2 linked regions of the Alligator mississippiensis genome follow. The protein of the gene in region 2 interacts with the protein of the main gene of each other region in a biochemical or structural test. Links are inferred from orthologs where the notes say so. Each region holds a gene or a part of one and is shown on either strand. Other genes may lie near its edges. The genes, in order: small ubiquitin-related modifier 3 and PIAS2.

Region 1 (7,255 bases), on a different chromosome or scaffold from region 2:
ATTTGCCTAGAACAAGTGGCCCTTGTCTTAGCTGGAATCTACGCGCTACCATAAAATAAAAACAACTGACATGTATACCTTTGCATTCCACAATACTTTTCTAACATTTTCTGGAAGCCTGAACAATTAAAATGCATTTAAACTAAACAGGACCATTACAAACAAAAATTTCTGACATCACAACACTCTCCGGCCTACTTTGTGATAGCACTGGTATTCGCCTAGATGACATTTCTAACAAAGGGAACTTACAAAACAACTTTCATAGAAGAGCCTATGAACCCCACTTCATAAATCTACTGGATACAAAAAAAATCATGGACTCAATACAGACACTGGATTCATGACGCATTACAACCTGCCTGATATCTGACTCACCTGGTACCTGCCTGACCTGACCCTTTACATTCTTCCTTCCCTTACTTTGCTGCCTTTGTCTTCCTGATTTCCAACTATTTCCCTTTTCATTGACAGCCTCTTCCTTACCTTGTATTATTACCACTGTAGTGTTTTCCTTTGGCCTTTCCCCCCCTCCCTTCCCTGCTTTACCTTTTGTTTTCCAATTTTACCTAGTTATATTTTCACTGACTTCCTGTTATACTTTTAGTTTCTCTCCTATTTCCCTGGTCTTCAACTATTTCCTTTTTCACTAGAAACATTCACTTGAGTTACCAGCACAGGACAAAGTCAGTGAATAAGTCTCAGCCCAGACCAACAATTCAGGTTACTTCCTCTGCCATTACAAACGTGGGATTTTACTCTTTCTTGAAAAAGGCACAGTCATCCCAGGGCCCACCTTGCCAGGTGCAACCTGCTCAAAATTCTTGCAAGATGAACCCAAGGCATGCAGCAGTCTTTTCTAAAATTCTCTCTAGATGATGACTGCAGATAGAATAACCCAATCCAGACTTGAAGAAAATGATCAGAAGCACAGCACAACAGCTGTACTTGTAGAGCTTAATAAAGCCAATCCAGTGCTCCTGGGTCCTCTTGGTTCCTCCAGTTTAGGAAGTCTTTCTTCCCCCATGGATGGAGCAAGGACGGATGAAGATTTTGGGAAATGAAAGTTCAAAAGCTCACAGAATCCGGGCTTTTGATACTTGCATATCGTCCTACACAAGGACTTTAAGTCCGCAATCTCCACTTGTACGACTGCATCACCTGCTCTGTGCACGTAAGTAGACTGGCCAAAAAGAATCAAGAAAAAAAACCCTACTCTCTGTGAAGTCCAGCCTGTTTATAATATGTATATTAACAAGTTCCTGACCAAGGCCTCTTCACTGCAACATTCTAGCTTATTAAAGCATACGAGTCTGCAAGCAATAGATGGATGTTTTTATTAAAGTTCCCTTTGGTGGCATTATTTTTCAGGTGACCTCCAACAAAAAAAGCACTAAAGAATTCTTCAGACAATGAGTTCTCCGACAGGGATTCAAAGGCAAGTTTCAACCACCAGAGCTTCCAAAAGGATGCTACCAAACAAAGGGCATCCTCTATCATTACGTTTTGGCTGGGATTAAGGCAGAAGAAAGAGGGGAGGTTTAAAAAAAAAAAAAAAAAAGAACAATGTACTTTCTCAGGGGGGAAAGGGAGAGAGTATGTGGATGTCCTGAAAAAAACAAATCTCCCCATCCCTCCCAGAGGGAGAATAAACTGCGGGAAGGGAGGAGGGGAATTATTTTCTTTTATGGAAGTATTCAATTCACTCCCCAGTTCTCCTCAGTCACTGGGTAGTGAAAAGGCTGTATGGAGACGGATTGCTTTTGAATTTGGGGGAGGGGATTATTTTGTTGTGTTCATATTTTAATGCGTTTCTTCGCTTGTAAGTTGCCCTGAGCCCTTATGTGGAGGGTGGGTAAGAAAGAAAGGAAGTGCTATGCCTGAGTTGTGGCCTTGTTGGCTAGGACTTGTCCACGTTAGGCCGTACTGCACTGTGGCCAGCCAGCAAGAGGCTTTCCTACACCTTGCTGAGCTGCAGCACATGCAAGGAAAAGCAGTGGCAGAGCACAGGTGGCTGCCGGGGTGGTGGCCTGGTCCTAGCACCAGCCCATCTCATCTCAGAGCCAAGCTGGGCCATTCTGGCTCCCTGCCACAAACCCCTGCCGACACTGGCTTAAACTTTTCATCCTTTTCACTCCACCAAATGTAAGTTACTGTTAGACTGTTTTCTTTTACAGATGAGGACACCTCATCAGCCAAGTGCCCAGCGAAGGAAGAAATGACGGTTCAAAGTGGGCTCTCAGAAGGAATGATGAAGGTTTCAGGATGGGGCAGAGCCCCTCCATCACCCCAACAAGGAGCACTGCCGGGCACGATACCACGCACCACCTACTTAAGAACAACTGTTCGGATAGTAACACGCACGGTCTGCAGCATCAAGTTCGGGGATCTCTGCAGATCACAACAGCAGGAAGATTTAACCTAACCCTGGAAAGGCGGGAGCCCCATCCCTTGCTCTTCTCATTCAAGAGTAAGCTTTCTGAAAGATGACACCTGCTCCATTGATCTCCACGAGGTCCACCGCCAAGTACCATTTAATTCAACTCAAGAGTGCTACCTCGGCAGCCCCCTGATGCCAGCTTCGAGCAATGCCCCCTGGCCTCCACGGACTCCTCTAATTCGCACAGAACTGAAGGTTTCAGGGTTAGTCTGAGGCAAAGCAGCACCAACAGCCATCACTGCATGGGAGACCCATAACGAAGACTCAAGCCTGACACCGTGCAGCTGCTCATCCCTCAAGGCTGACCCGGGCTCTGCAGGACCACGAGTGTTGGTGCCCTAGAGCAGCAGGGCAGGAAGGGAGCTGCACGGGCCATCTCCAATTGCCCGGGGGAGGCAGCCAGGAGCCCCCCCCCGAGCTGCGGAGCCGGGCCCGTGACTGCGAGGTCGGGACACCTGCTCCTGCGCGCGCTTCCCGCGCCCGCTGCCCCGCGGGGCTCCGGCTCCTGCGGCCTGGGCGGGCCGGGGGCCGCGGACGCAGAGGGGAGCGAAGCGGCCGGCCCGGCCCAAAGGCCCTAACGGCCCCAACGGCCGTTCGAACGCGGCGCCGCCCCGCCCCGCCCCCCGCGGCCCGGCGGGACCCGCCTCCCGGGTGGGCCCGCGCGGCCCCGGGGCAGGGAGGAGCCGGGGCCGCCCGCGCCGTTACCTTGGGCTTCTCCTCGGCCATGGCGCCGGCGCTGAGGGGGGCGATGGCGCTCGCGGCTCCCGCTTCTCTCCCGCCGCAGCCGCTGGCGAGAGCGCGCGTCACCCCTCCCCCACACCCAAATCCCCGGGCCCTGATTGGAGCCGGCGGGGCCACGTGGGGTCGGGGCGCGCTCACGAGGCGCGCTCGCGAGCCAGCTGCCCGGCGGGAGCGCGCCCGGGCGGGGGCGGGGGCAGGGGCAGGTAGCGCGGGGAAGTGCGTCAGCGCGGGGCCGGAAGCGGCGCTGCGGCGGCCGGCGCAGCTGGGTGGGGGAGGGGCGGCAACTGGCACGTCCCCTCCCCCCACCGCGGCCTTTCCGGCGCGCGTGTATCTGCCACTTCCTCCCCGGTAGGGCCTGGTGGCCTCAACCCGTACGAGCTAGGCACCGAGCTGGCCTGCAGGGCGGCACCAGCGCGCGCCGGGCAGGCTCATGGCGGGCACGCGGCACCTCGCGTAGCCCGGAGTTGTCGCAGCCTGCAGGGGCCCTTTCAGTCTTGCACGCGGCGGACGCGGTGTGTTGCGCCTGCGGGCAGAGTCGGGGCAGCCGCTGGGTGCTGTTAAGACTCCCCTGTTGTGTGTGCGTCACACCTAAAGGCCTAGATCCCCGTCGGCCAGCATGGCCCTCTGCCCCACTGCCGCTGGTCCTAAACGCAGATGAGGCCTTCCAAAAGTCCCATCAGTGCCAGAGCCCCGATGCTGACACCTGAGCTGCTGGCTCCTACCATAAGCTTGCAGGGAGCATCTGGCTAACGAGGCTTCTGATCTCAGCCTGCACCCTCAGTTCTTGGCCGTCTGCTTTTCTGGCTCATGCTTGCAGATGCCACTCTAATGGTCTGGTTTCCGTGGCTCGGCTTGCTCGTGGACTTTTCTCTCCTTTTAATTTCCTGGCTTGCCTCTGTGTTCTGCTTGCCCTCTCCCACTTTCCTATGCGCCCACTTATGGTAACCTTGATCTCCAGTCGGTCTCCAGGTCTAGTCACCCGTGACCTGATGCTGCCAATCTGCCTGGACTACTCTTTGGCGAAGAGGGCCTGTTATGGATGCTTCTCCCCTGGTGGTGCTCTCAGACCCACCTGCTTTAGATGCCAATTCTCCAGGAGACCTACAGGCCATGCAGAAGTGGCTGATTCAGCTTGCCTCTATCTGACAAGCCTTGGAGCTTCACTTGCTGCAGTTGACTACTGCACACCAGACCCTTCAATCCCCAGTTGCCTGTCTTCAGGAGAGCTCCTGGTTGGAGGAAACGTGGCAGCTGAGAGAAGAGCGCGCATTCTGGGCCCACCTGGAACCCTGAGCTTGAGACCGTTACCCAAAAGGTACGATGTGAACCAGCAGCATTTCTTGGGATTCCTCGATCAATGCTGTCTCTTATTTCTGGCACAGCCCAGAGCTTATTCTAGTGACCAAGCAAAAGTGAACCTTGTGATAGACCTCCTGTTGAGGGAAGCCTTGGTCCAGGTCTCCCTGTTCCTGGAGCATAGCAGCCCAGTCCTCTAGAACTGGGAGGCATTTCTCCAAGCCATTGCAGCTATGTACAACGGTGAGCCCCACTGGGGCTGTACAGCAGAGTCTGCATTGTGGAACTTCTACAAGGAGTAGAGTGCAGCTGCTGATGATGCTTTTCTGTTCTAGCGCTACGTGGCAGACACCAACTGCAACAGCAGCTGAATTCTACTAATTCTGATAGGGTCCATGAGAAGAGGTAAAGGCTGACCTTGCCTAGGGGAAGTGCCCTCCAAACCTCGTGACTTTGTGGATTTAGTGATCTGCATTCTCAGTCTTGCACTCTACAGAAAAGGAAAGAAGAAAAGAGGTACTCTTTGTCTTCTCCTTGTCCCCGTCCTCTGCTCTTAAACCTGTGCTGGTAGATGGGGGAGGACTGCCACCTTACCCTGAGCAAGTGGGAATGACACTGCCAGCACAATTTGTGCTTCTATTGTGGGACATCAGGACATGTGCTTGCCTACTGCCCTACAAGAAGGGAAACATGCCTCCACCTCCTCTCACTCAGCCCTGCAAGGGGTATTGACTTGGGGTCAGCAATAAAGGTGAAACCTGTAGCCAAATCAAACTGCAGACCTTTCAGATAAGGTTACCTGTTCACCTGCAGATCACAGGCTGAGCCTGTTTTACAGCTGGTATTATCTACCCTACCGGACTTCGGGGCAACTAGAAATGTCATTAATGAAACCATTGTCCAAGCCTTACGTATCCCTTCATAACAGCTCAGGCTGGGAATAGTTGAGACCATTTCTAGCTCCCCTCTTTCATCAGGCTCCTTGGAGTTGGAAACCCTCACCCTTGATGTGGAAATCTGCAAACACAGGGAAACTTTGCTTTGGGGCAGTCTGATCCCACATTACTCCCTGATCCTGAGATCCTTCTGGCTTGCCTGTTATGGTCCCCTGGTCCAGTGGAAAAGCTATGAGGTGTTTTACATCCAGTTTTTGCAGGAAACACTTAAAAGCCTTGGATGGTTGACCCACCCTATGATTTCAGGCTAGAATCCTAACAGATAGCAAGGTAGATTTGAACCTTAAAATAAATACATTTCTATAATATAGCATAAGCTTACATGAGTTGGTTTATGCATATATATATTCTCAGTATAGTTAGTCCTTTAAGGATTCTGCTTGACTTCAGACTAACACAGCTAACTATGTATCCCAACAGATACTGTCCTACAAGGAGCTCTGTCTCTTGCAGCAAGATCTGACCTACCCCAACATTATGCAGCTGTTTTTGATTAAAAACCTGCTGAAGTTCCTCCTCCCTCCCACACTGTGTCTACAACTGCACCATTGTCTTACAGCCTAGGATCTCAGTGGACCACTCTACACTATGTCTGAGCAGGAACTAGCTGCCCTCTGAGAGTACCTTCAGGCATGGGCAGATCTAGGATTTTGAAAAGGGGTGCAGATGGTGTGACTGATTAGCATGTATAATGCAACACACATTTTTCTCCAGTTAAAGAGGAATTAGATGCTTTACTAATATACTAAAGGGCTAGCAGTATATTATTTAGTTTAAGGCCAAAGCAAAAACAAATAAAACTATTAGACTGCACTGATTTGCTAGATTCTGTATAAAGTTTTAAAAGATACCACAAACTAGGTAAAAAATAGTCAAAAGATATTATTTCATTAGCCCTTTAGTCATTGCAGTTAAATATACATTTCTTACTCAGTTTTGTAAACCAAAGCTAGCCTTCTTGAGTGGCCTGCCAGTGCCTCCAATACTTTACTGTCAGTCATTTCCTTATTAACCTGAATTAATATTACCACACCTGAGTTAAGGTTTTTAGCTAGAATTTGGGTGGAGCAGGAATGAAAGAGGGGTGCAACTGTATCACTTTGTCGCCCCCACCCCACCCCACCCCACCCCCGGATCTGCCCCCGCCTTCAGGAGAGCCCGGCCTGGGAGTTTATAAGAAAATACATATCTCTTGCCAGGGTCCCTATCTTGTTCATCAGAAAGGACAGGAGCCTCTGCCTCATTGTAGACTATCAGGCCCTGGAAAATCACCACCCAAAATCAGTACTGTCCCTACCTCTAAACCAGGGGTGGGCAAAATGCGGCCCGGGGACCAGATTCAGCCTGCCATTCTATCCAGCCCGTGGGGCCCCTAAAAAATTTAGAAAATTAATATTTATTTGCCCTGGGCTGCCTGTCATGCAGCCCTCAATGGCTTGCCAAAACTCAGTAAGCAGCCCTCTGCCCAAAATAATCGCCTGCCCTTGCTCTAAATCCTGAGCTACCAGATTGCTTAAAGGCTGCTTGCATAGTCACTAAATGTGATTGCAGTGGAGCATATAGCCTGGTAAGAATAAGAGATGGTGACAAATGGAAAATAGCTTTCTAAATTACAGTGTAAGCCTTACTGGCCTAATGGATAAGGCACTGGTCTCCTAAGCCAAGGACTGTGGGTTTAAGTTCCACCTGGGGTGAAATATGCATGTATGTGTTATAGGCTTACAGAAGGTAGGCTTCTGAGTGGGTGGATCTTGTTGTATCAACCTCATCTCCTTTTATAATCAGGTAACTCACCCCTGGATAAGAGAGAGGAGGTTGATAC
Region 2 (7,415 bases):
CGCACACGAATAGCCCGCCTGTCTCCATAGTGACGGGGAAGCACAGTTAGCTCCTCCCCCCCGCGCGCGCACTCACCGCCTCCTTGACCTGGTAGGCGGCTTTCAGGGTCTGGTACGACAGCTCCATGGCGGGGAGGTACCGCTCCGCCGCGGGTTGACGGGTACGAGCCGCGGACACATTCGCTACCCTCACTGTTGAGGGGGAGATGGGCGGGGACGGGTGTATGCCGCTGACCAATCAGAGCGTGGGGGGTGGGACTTGACTGCAGCACTGACTAAACAGAACGGGGGACTGTCGGAAGAGGCGTCCAATCGTAGGCCGCCAAAGGAAAAAAAAAAAAAAGCGGCGTGCTGGAAGAATTTAACCAATCAGCATTTAGGGGAGACGGGGTGCTGAACGGACCAATCAGGAGGAGGAAGAGAGACCGGCGAAGGCAAGCGACGTTGCGCGCGTGCCAAGGACTTTAAGTTTGCGCATGCGCGGAGGTGATAGGTGACGTCATGGCTCCTGCCTTCAGGTCTCTTATTTTGCATCCAGCAATACAATGCTGCTGGGTGGACTGAGGGCGAAGTCGGTCTTGATCAACCTGTTTGGCTTCCCCATTACAGAAGGAAGCGCCTGAGACAACAGCAGGTGTTTCTAAGCCTTTAAAAATAAAAAAAAGGAAGGTTCAAAACCTGTTCATACAATTGCAAGATGATGTCAGGTCTTCACATTTGCAGATGCTTGTTCATTTCTGAAAAAAGTTTGCTTTGGGGCTGGAACGGTTCATAGTGGGTCTCAGCCCAAAGGTTGGGGGAATCTAGATCTACTTCCCATGAAAAATAATGCAGTCCTTTTGGTTGAGCTACATCTGGCAACATGACATTTTGCAGTTTGCAATTTTGAATGTGTAAGTAGTATGCACTGAGCAGGGTCTCAGCACCATGTAAAAGCAAATATGTTAATAAAGATTTGAATCCTATATAGGCAACCAAGAAGTAAACCTCTTGGAAAGGAAATCAGAGAGCATTCAAGTTAGTTTGTGGTCATCAGCAGGGCCTGATAAGGCCAATGTTGTAAAACCACAGCATTTTCTTCTTTCTAGACAGACTTTCTTTCTGTTGCTACTAGGTAATATTATGTGCAGTTTAAAATATACTGCTAAGTGCTCTCCAGCAACCCATACTTTCCCTCCCCTAAAAAAATAAATCTGGAGTCAGCCAAGCAACTCTTTTAGTCTTCAACAATTTTCATTTTATTCTACAAATTCTGATTTCTTTAAACTATTAAATTCAAGCATTTGAGTTGGTCTAATAAAAGAGATTGGATTTACCCGAAGAACCCTGGCTGCCTGATTCGAGCAGACACATGTACATGTACTCAAACACAAGAACAGCCCCATCGGCTTTAAGAGAACTGCTTAGTTTAAGCAAGCACACGTATGTTTGATTTAAACTTCTATTTTTTTCCTCATGAGAAGAAAAGGTAAACAGCACATTAATGTATTGCTGCCTCGTTAATGTAGCCATAGGAAAAATGTAACTCAATTCAAGCAAATAGAGTGGACCAGCCACAAGTACAAAGCAGTTTAACCAGTTAACTGGTTAAAAATATGATTCCACTCAAGTCAACATGTTCTCTCATCTAAGTTCAAGTAAAGTGAACTTGGAAGCTTAATTAGGACCTCATAAACACTAATATTAAGCAAAGAAATTTCTATTTACCATTAAACAGCTGTGTACATATGAATGTCATATTGAAAGAAATAGTTTGAATGTTTGTAAAGGTTGCCCATTAGCCAGTTTCAGGAAGAAGATAAGATTTATCTCCTTATCTAGTTAATTGTTTTGGGACTACGTGCAAAAGGTCCTGACTTTGCTTAAAGTCTTAATTTGAATCTTTTAGAAGTCTTTTACAAAGAGAGCAAATATCCTGAATTCCGAGAGATCAAACCCTAAGGCCTTTTGACCAGATTGGTAAGAAAAGGGCATTTGCAGTGATATGGAAGTTTCCCAAAGGTAATTTAAAATGCTCAACAAAGGCAAAAGAATCTGCTGAGTAAGATCCGAGCCCAAATTTGGGGGTAATGACAGATTGAGTAGGAGGAGCCCACTGATGGCACCTCACTCAATAAAAACTGTAACTTACTGTCCCAATTTGGAGGTGACTATACTTGTAGAACAATGAAGGAAGAATCGCAAGTGTAGCCCGGGTCAGACTGATCACCTGAACTAACCTCTCCGTGAACACGAATCTCTTAGTTCACGCTAAAGCTGCAGAGCACCCAAAAAGGACTGAAAGAAGGGGACTTAGTCCTATCAGTATTGAGGCCAGCCTATTGAATTGTATTGCTGAGGCGAGCCCATTCCATTGAACCGTACTACTGAGGCCAACCCATTAAATCGTACTACTGAGGAATGAAACCATATTTTGGTATTTGGCTTCTCGGAATTCTAGGATTGTAAGTATAATATGAAAAATAATAGTATTGATTCAAATTTAACTTTTAGTTGTAATTGTAGTTGTTTTTGTAACACTAATTCTTATAGTATTGTTTGGGAAGGAAGTGCATTCGGAGCATTGTTTCTGATATATGTAATTATTGTGTTTTTAATGTTTGTGGTGTTTCTTAAAGCCAAGCAGTGTTATATACGTAGCAAAGAGTTTTAAAATAAAACTGTGTTGTATAAATTAAGTGTGTAAACATTGTGAAATCGTGCAATCAGTTAACTACTCCCCCAGCCAGTGCATCAAAACGAATCAGTAAATTGTGTGGGATTTTCTCTATTCCATAACCCACTAGAGACAATGAAAAAGGCAACAGACTTATTACCTAGTGTGCATCAATGTGAAGGTTTAAAGATTAAAATCAAACACAAGACAAAAGTTTAATACTCAACAGTAACTTAACTTGGCCCAGATTACACATATATATGTTTTATTGGATAAATTGAATAAATAGGTATGTCTTCCTTTGGCCTTAAATCCAGGTTGCGTTAGAGAAAACAAACCAAGCTGTTTAAAAGAATGGTTTGTGTACAATTAGTAATCACCAGCTAAACCATATTATTACTTAGATTTAAATATTCTCTTGCTGTTTGCACCCAAAACTTTGCAGCTGTGCGCTGGTTCATGGGGACAGGAAAGTAAAATTATTCTATTCTATTTCATTATCAAAGCACAGCAGAGTACAAAATAGGCATTGGACAGATTCAGTATTGTTCTTAGCTTTTCCACAGGTAATAATTAGAAGGTAACAGCTACTACCCTTTGATTTCAACTTAATGCAGGTCCATCCCCTTATATTTCTTTTCCATGTCCAAGTGTTGCTGTTCTACTCGGCACAAGGGTCTGTCATGCCAGGAATAAGGCATCTTTGCAAATGAATGTATATCCAACAAAAATCAAAAGCTTTCTTCTGCTACAAATAACAGAAACAAAATTTGTTTCAGCCAAAGCACAAACTGACAATATAACCCATGAGCCAGATTACCCATGGCATAACACCTTGTGCAATAATTAAGACTTTGATGTTCAAAGGTACTATTTGGAATCAATGGCGGTTAGATGCCCAAGTACTTTTAAAAACCTGGTTCTAATACTGACTAAAGTGGGTGTTAAGAGCTACCTCATTACAATTCTCCTCTCACTTTCATTGTTTCAATGGCTCTGCAAGGTAATGAAGATCTGACCCAGAGCTTGCAGCTTCAAGCCTTTATGTTAAACAGCACATATGAACTCCCCCGTTTGAGTGCTCCATTTAGCCGCCATGGCTGCTTGTTAACATTCATCCTCCATACACTAGTTAATCTGAAGAAGCCAAAATGGGATCATGGAGGAATCTAATTTGTTGAAATGCTAGGACCAGCTATAGAGTTTTGACTATCTGGGTAGAACATGGGACTACAAAGCACTCAAAATGCCTCAGAAGTATGAGCTTTTGTAGGCAACAACCTACTTCATCAGATAGGCACAAGGGTATTCCTAGCATCTGATTAGGTAGGTTATTGCTTACAAAATTCATGCCTCTCTCAATCAGTTTGTTTCTAAAGTGCCACCTTGTCCTATCTTCTGTCTAACTTCAGACTAGTGATTTTCAACCACAATACTACAAAGTCCTTTGATAGATGCTGCAGGTGTGAGAAGATAAGCAAATAAGGGCAGGATCAGGCTTCAGGTGTGAAGAGAAAAGTAGATAAGGGCAGGCTCAGAGCCCTTCTATTTTGCCACTTCCTAGCCTGTGCTCTTGGTCCCTCTGCAAGGAGGTAAGCTGTGATAAGCTAGTTATTGAGAAGGGGTGCTGCTCAGTTCACAAAGGTTATGGAGGGGACCTAAAAAAAGTTTGAAAGCTGTTGCTTTAGACTAATGCATCTTGTTGTTTCTGATGATCTGAGATAAGGTTTTGACCCTGGTTTGTAGGCATTACACAAGGCTTATTTATACTGTTACATATCAGGGTTTTCTTTGACAATAAGGCTGTGGAACAGTCCACAGTATACACGCAGATATGGCTTAAGTTCTTAGAACAGCAATTCTCAACCAGGGTATTGCAGCAGCCCAGGGTGCTTTGAGATGCTTTCAAGGTTGCTGTGAAGTACCATGCAATGTTAGCACTATTAGATGTGCAATTATGCTTCACAATATAAACACAGAGACTTCAAACAGAAATCCAGTGTTAAAAAAAAGTCTGACCTGTTGTGAGATTTTTTGAGCCCTTTACAGTAGACAAATAGTCTTTTTTCTATAGTCAAAAAACAAGTGAAAACTAAGAGCTGGCACTTTCTGATGAGTGCCTGGAGTCTAATGAAGGGCACTGTTTAAAAAATGAATAAATAAATAAAAAGGTTGAGTGCTGCCTTAAATTATTAGAGACTTAAGGAAACTAGCATTTTTCTGGTAACAAGCCTACTTCTACAGGCACACTGCTTAAATAAGCTCAGCTTTTTGCTTTGAAAAAGTTGTACTAAAAAAAAAACACAAAAAAAACCAATTCTGCAGGTGTTGCCCATCTGTCAGTAAAGGGCACTAAGTGGCTACCTCAAAATGAGAGAGTTCTTGGGTGCTGGCACCTTTCTCCTCCTGCTGTGAACCCTTCATTGCAAGGTCTATGAAAACAGAGAGGGTCAACCATGTAAGAGATGTTCCTCGGGGTGCACGCAAGACCTACAGGAGGAGGAGAATCCACAAGAAGAAATGGAAGAAGCTGCCAAAAAACCCAACATATGAGGTGAGCATATTTAAAGTTCTGGAGCGTGGGAGTGATACAGGGCTGGCCTTGGGGAATATGGTGCTCTAGGCAAGCTTGTATTTCCCCAGCTTCTGCCCCCTAGTCGGTGGTGCTGCTGCAGGCAGAGGCAAAAGGGCAAGGGTGTGGGGTGCAGTCTGGCAGGGAGGCAGAGTGGCATGGTGCATCAGGCAATTAGTGTACTGTGGCTACCACCTGGGAGCAAAGCAGGTGCCATCCCACTGGCACATGCCTAGCTTGGCTTCTTCTGAGCAGTGACTGGAGACAGGTGGTAGGCTGGGCTGGGCAGTGCTCCTCCTGCCTGGAACAGGAATTGGGTGGGGTAGGGGGAGAGCCCTGCTCTGAACATGAGCTGCTCACTTACGTGTATGTGAGGCTCCCCTCCAACCATGCCTGCCTACCTGCAAGGCTGGCCTGGAGTGATGGATCAGGAAGGCGGCTGATGTCCTGGTAGATTGTTATGCATGGCTGGATAATTTGCCTGTTAGCTGTTTGTGGGATCTGTCTTTGCTTCCTATTTTAATAAATTGGTTGTTTGGTTTAACAGCACTATTGGCAATGAAAGTGAATGTTGTGACTAGGTAATTACCTCTGGCTGCTTTTGAAAATACACTTCTCAGCTGCACTTCCACATTTGTTTTTTTTCCACCTCAACATTTGTTTTTTTTCTGTAAATGTCTCAGCATTTCCCTTGCAGCATGAAACCCATTATCTAGTTTTAAAGTTTACCTCCAGTGACATTTTTGCTTCATTTTTTATTAATAAAACGTGTGACACTATCATTATTTGTTCTGCAGTGAAAATGCACCTGGTTAAATAGATAAAACGAAGATTGCTGTAGCATTGTTTGATAAGTCCAGCTTTTAAATATTACACTCCAACCATGGAAGCAGGGATGTTTGCTGTTTTATCTTCTCACATTAATGAAATATTATTACTTGGTTGAAAAACAACTATGCATCAGTTGAAAGACACAGTGCTATATGAAATAATAATGTCTTTTTTTTTTTTTTCTTCCCCCCCCCCCCCCCCCCGTCTAACACCAGCTCTGGCACTGCCTTCCTGAGACCGTGGGCAGTTATGTAGGTCCAGATCCTGAAAATAACATTTCTCCTTGCAGTTGAACATGAGCACCTGAATTGCATTTAAGACTGCAATTACTGTCCTGGAAACCTCTACTCTGTTTCTGCCTAAACCCAGAGACACTTGCGTTCTGTAGGTGCCTTGGTCTTTGATAGCATTGCCAACTCTGTTTGACTCTATTCCAGGAGGTTTCATCACACGACGTACCGACATTAATACACTACGCAGTGTATGTAGTTAGTCAACTAAAGAGATGACGCGAACGTGCCTGCTTGCATATATGTTACGGATTACGGTGTATAGACTTGGTCAGGAAGGGAAATGCACACTACTGTTACGCTTTAGAAACCCACTGGGCTACTGTATAAATCAGATTCAACTTTTAATATTAATTTTAATGAATGCCCTATCACTTATTTCCTGGGTGACTCCCAGCAGTCTCCTGGAGGCGTAGATCCAATTCCTGGGGGTTCCAGGGCAGTCTTGGAGGGCTAGCAACCCTCGTCTTTGTCACGGCTCCGCTTTGGTGCGGGCCTACAAAAACCTCAGGGCTGAGAGAAGTTTGACAGCCGTCTCCAACCTAAACCAGGTTGGGGTGCAGGAACTGGTAATCCCCCACCTCGCTTTCCCTAAGGGCCCCATTTTGGTCCTTTGGAGAGAGCCTGACCGATCAGGCTCCGTATAACATGCAGACGTGGTCACGGTTTCCTTTATAAGATGACCCTATCATCCCCTGCCCTCCGACCTGCTGCTCCGTAATCGAAGCGCTCGCCCAGGCTCAACAATAGGTTGGTACCAGGGCCGGACACGCCAGGCGGCTGCCTGCAGCCAGGACAGAAAGGGGGCCTGAAAGTTGCAATTGTTTTCTATTGTTCTACTATTATTAATAATCTCTCTGGTGAAGGGGGACCTAATACTAAAAGTTTGCCTGTAGGATTGGATTACCAAACTTGCCTGTAAGTGTGCCTGGGGCTGCCAGGAGTGGAGGCTAGCACGGCACTCCTCTGCCAGGGCACCCTGGGGTGCTGCCGGCTCCTGTGAAGGGTGCAGCGAGGTGAGATGAATGGATAAAGCCAGGCCCTGCCTGAAGGATCCCCGACCCTG

What was found.
Region 1: the proteins of PIAS2 (region 2) and small ubiquitin-related modifier 3 form a complex in vitro, tested with the Homo sapiens proteins (2 studies listed by BioGRID, with this or other methods). The link is inferred for Alligator mississippiensis from reciprocal best matches to the Homo sapiens genes PIAS2 and SUMO3.

Annotation. Positions count from the first base shown.
Region 1 is NC_081830.1:33,435,803-33,443,057, forward strand, and holds the start of small ubiquitin-related modifier 3, read right to left. Parts: upstream 3,261-7,255; 5' UTR 3,167-3,260; coding exon 3,146-3,166; intron 1-3,145. UniProt on the Homo sapiens protein: Ubiquitin-like protein which can be covalently attached to target lysines either as a monomer or as a lysine-linked polymer. Does not seem to be involved in protein degradation and may function as an antagonist of ubiquitin in the degradation process.
Region 2 is NC_081826.1:290,937,344-290,944,758, forward strand, and holds the start of PIAS2 (E3 SUMO-protein ligase PIAS2), read left to right. Parts: upstream 1-4,176; 5' UTR 4,177-4,248; intron 4,249-4,259; exon of another isoform or gene 4,260-4,981; 5' UTR 4,982-5,090; coding exon 5,091-5,210; intron 5,211-7,415. Other genes in the region: KATNAL2 (katanin p60 ATPase-containing subunit A-like 2), read right to left, coding at 77-127. UniProt on the Homo sapiens protein: Functions as an E3-type small ubiquitin-like modifier (SUMO) ligase, stabilizing the interaction between UBE2I and the substrate, and as a SUMO-tethering factor.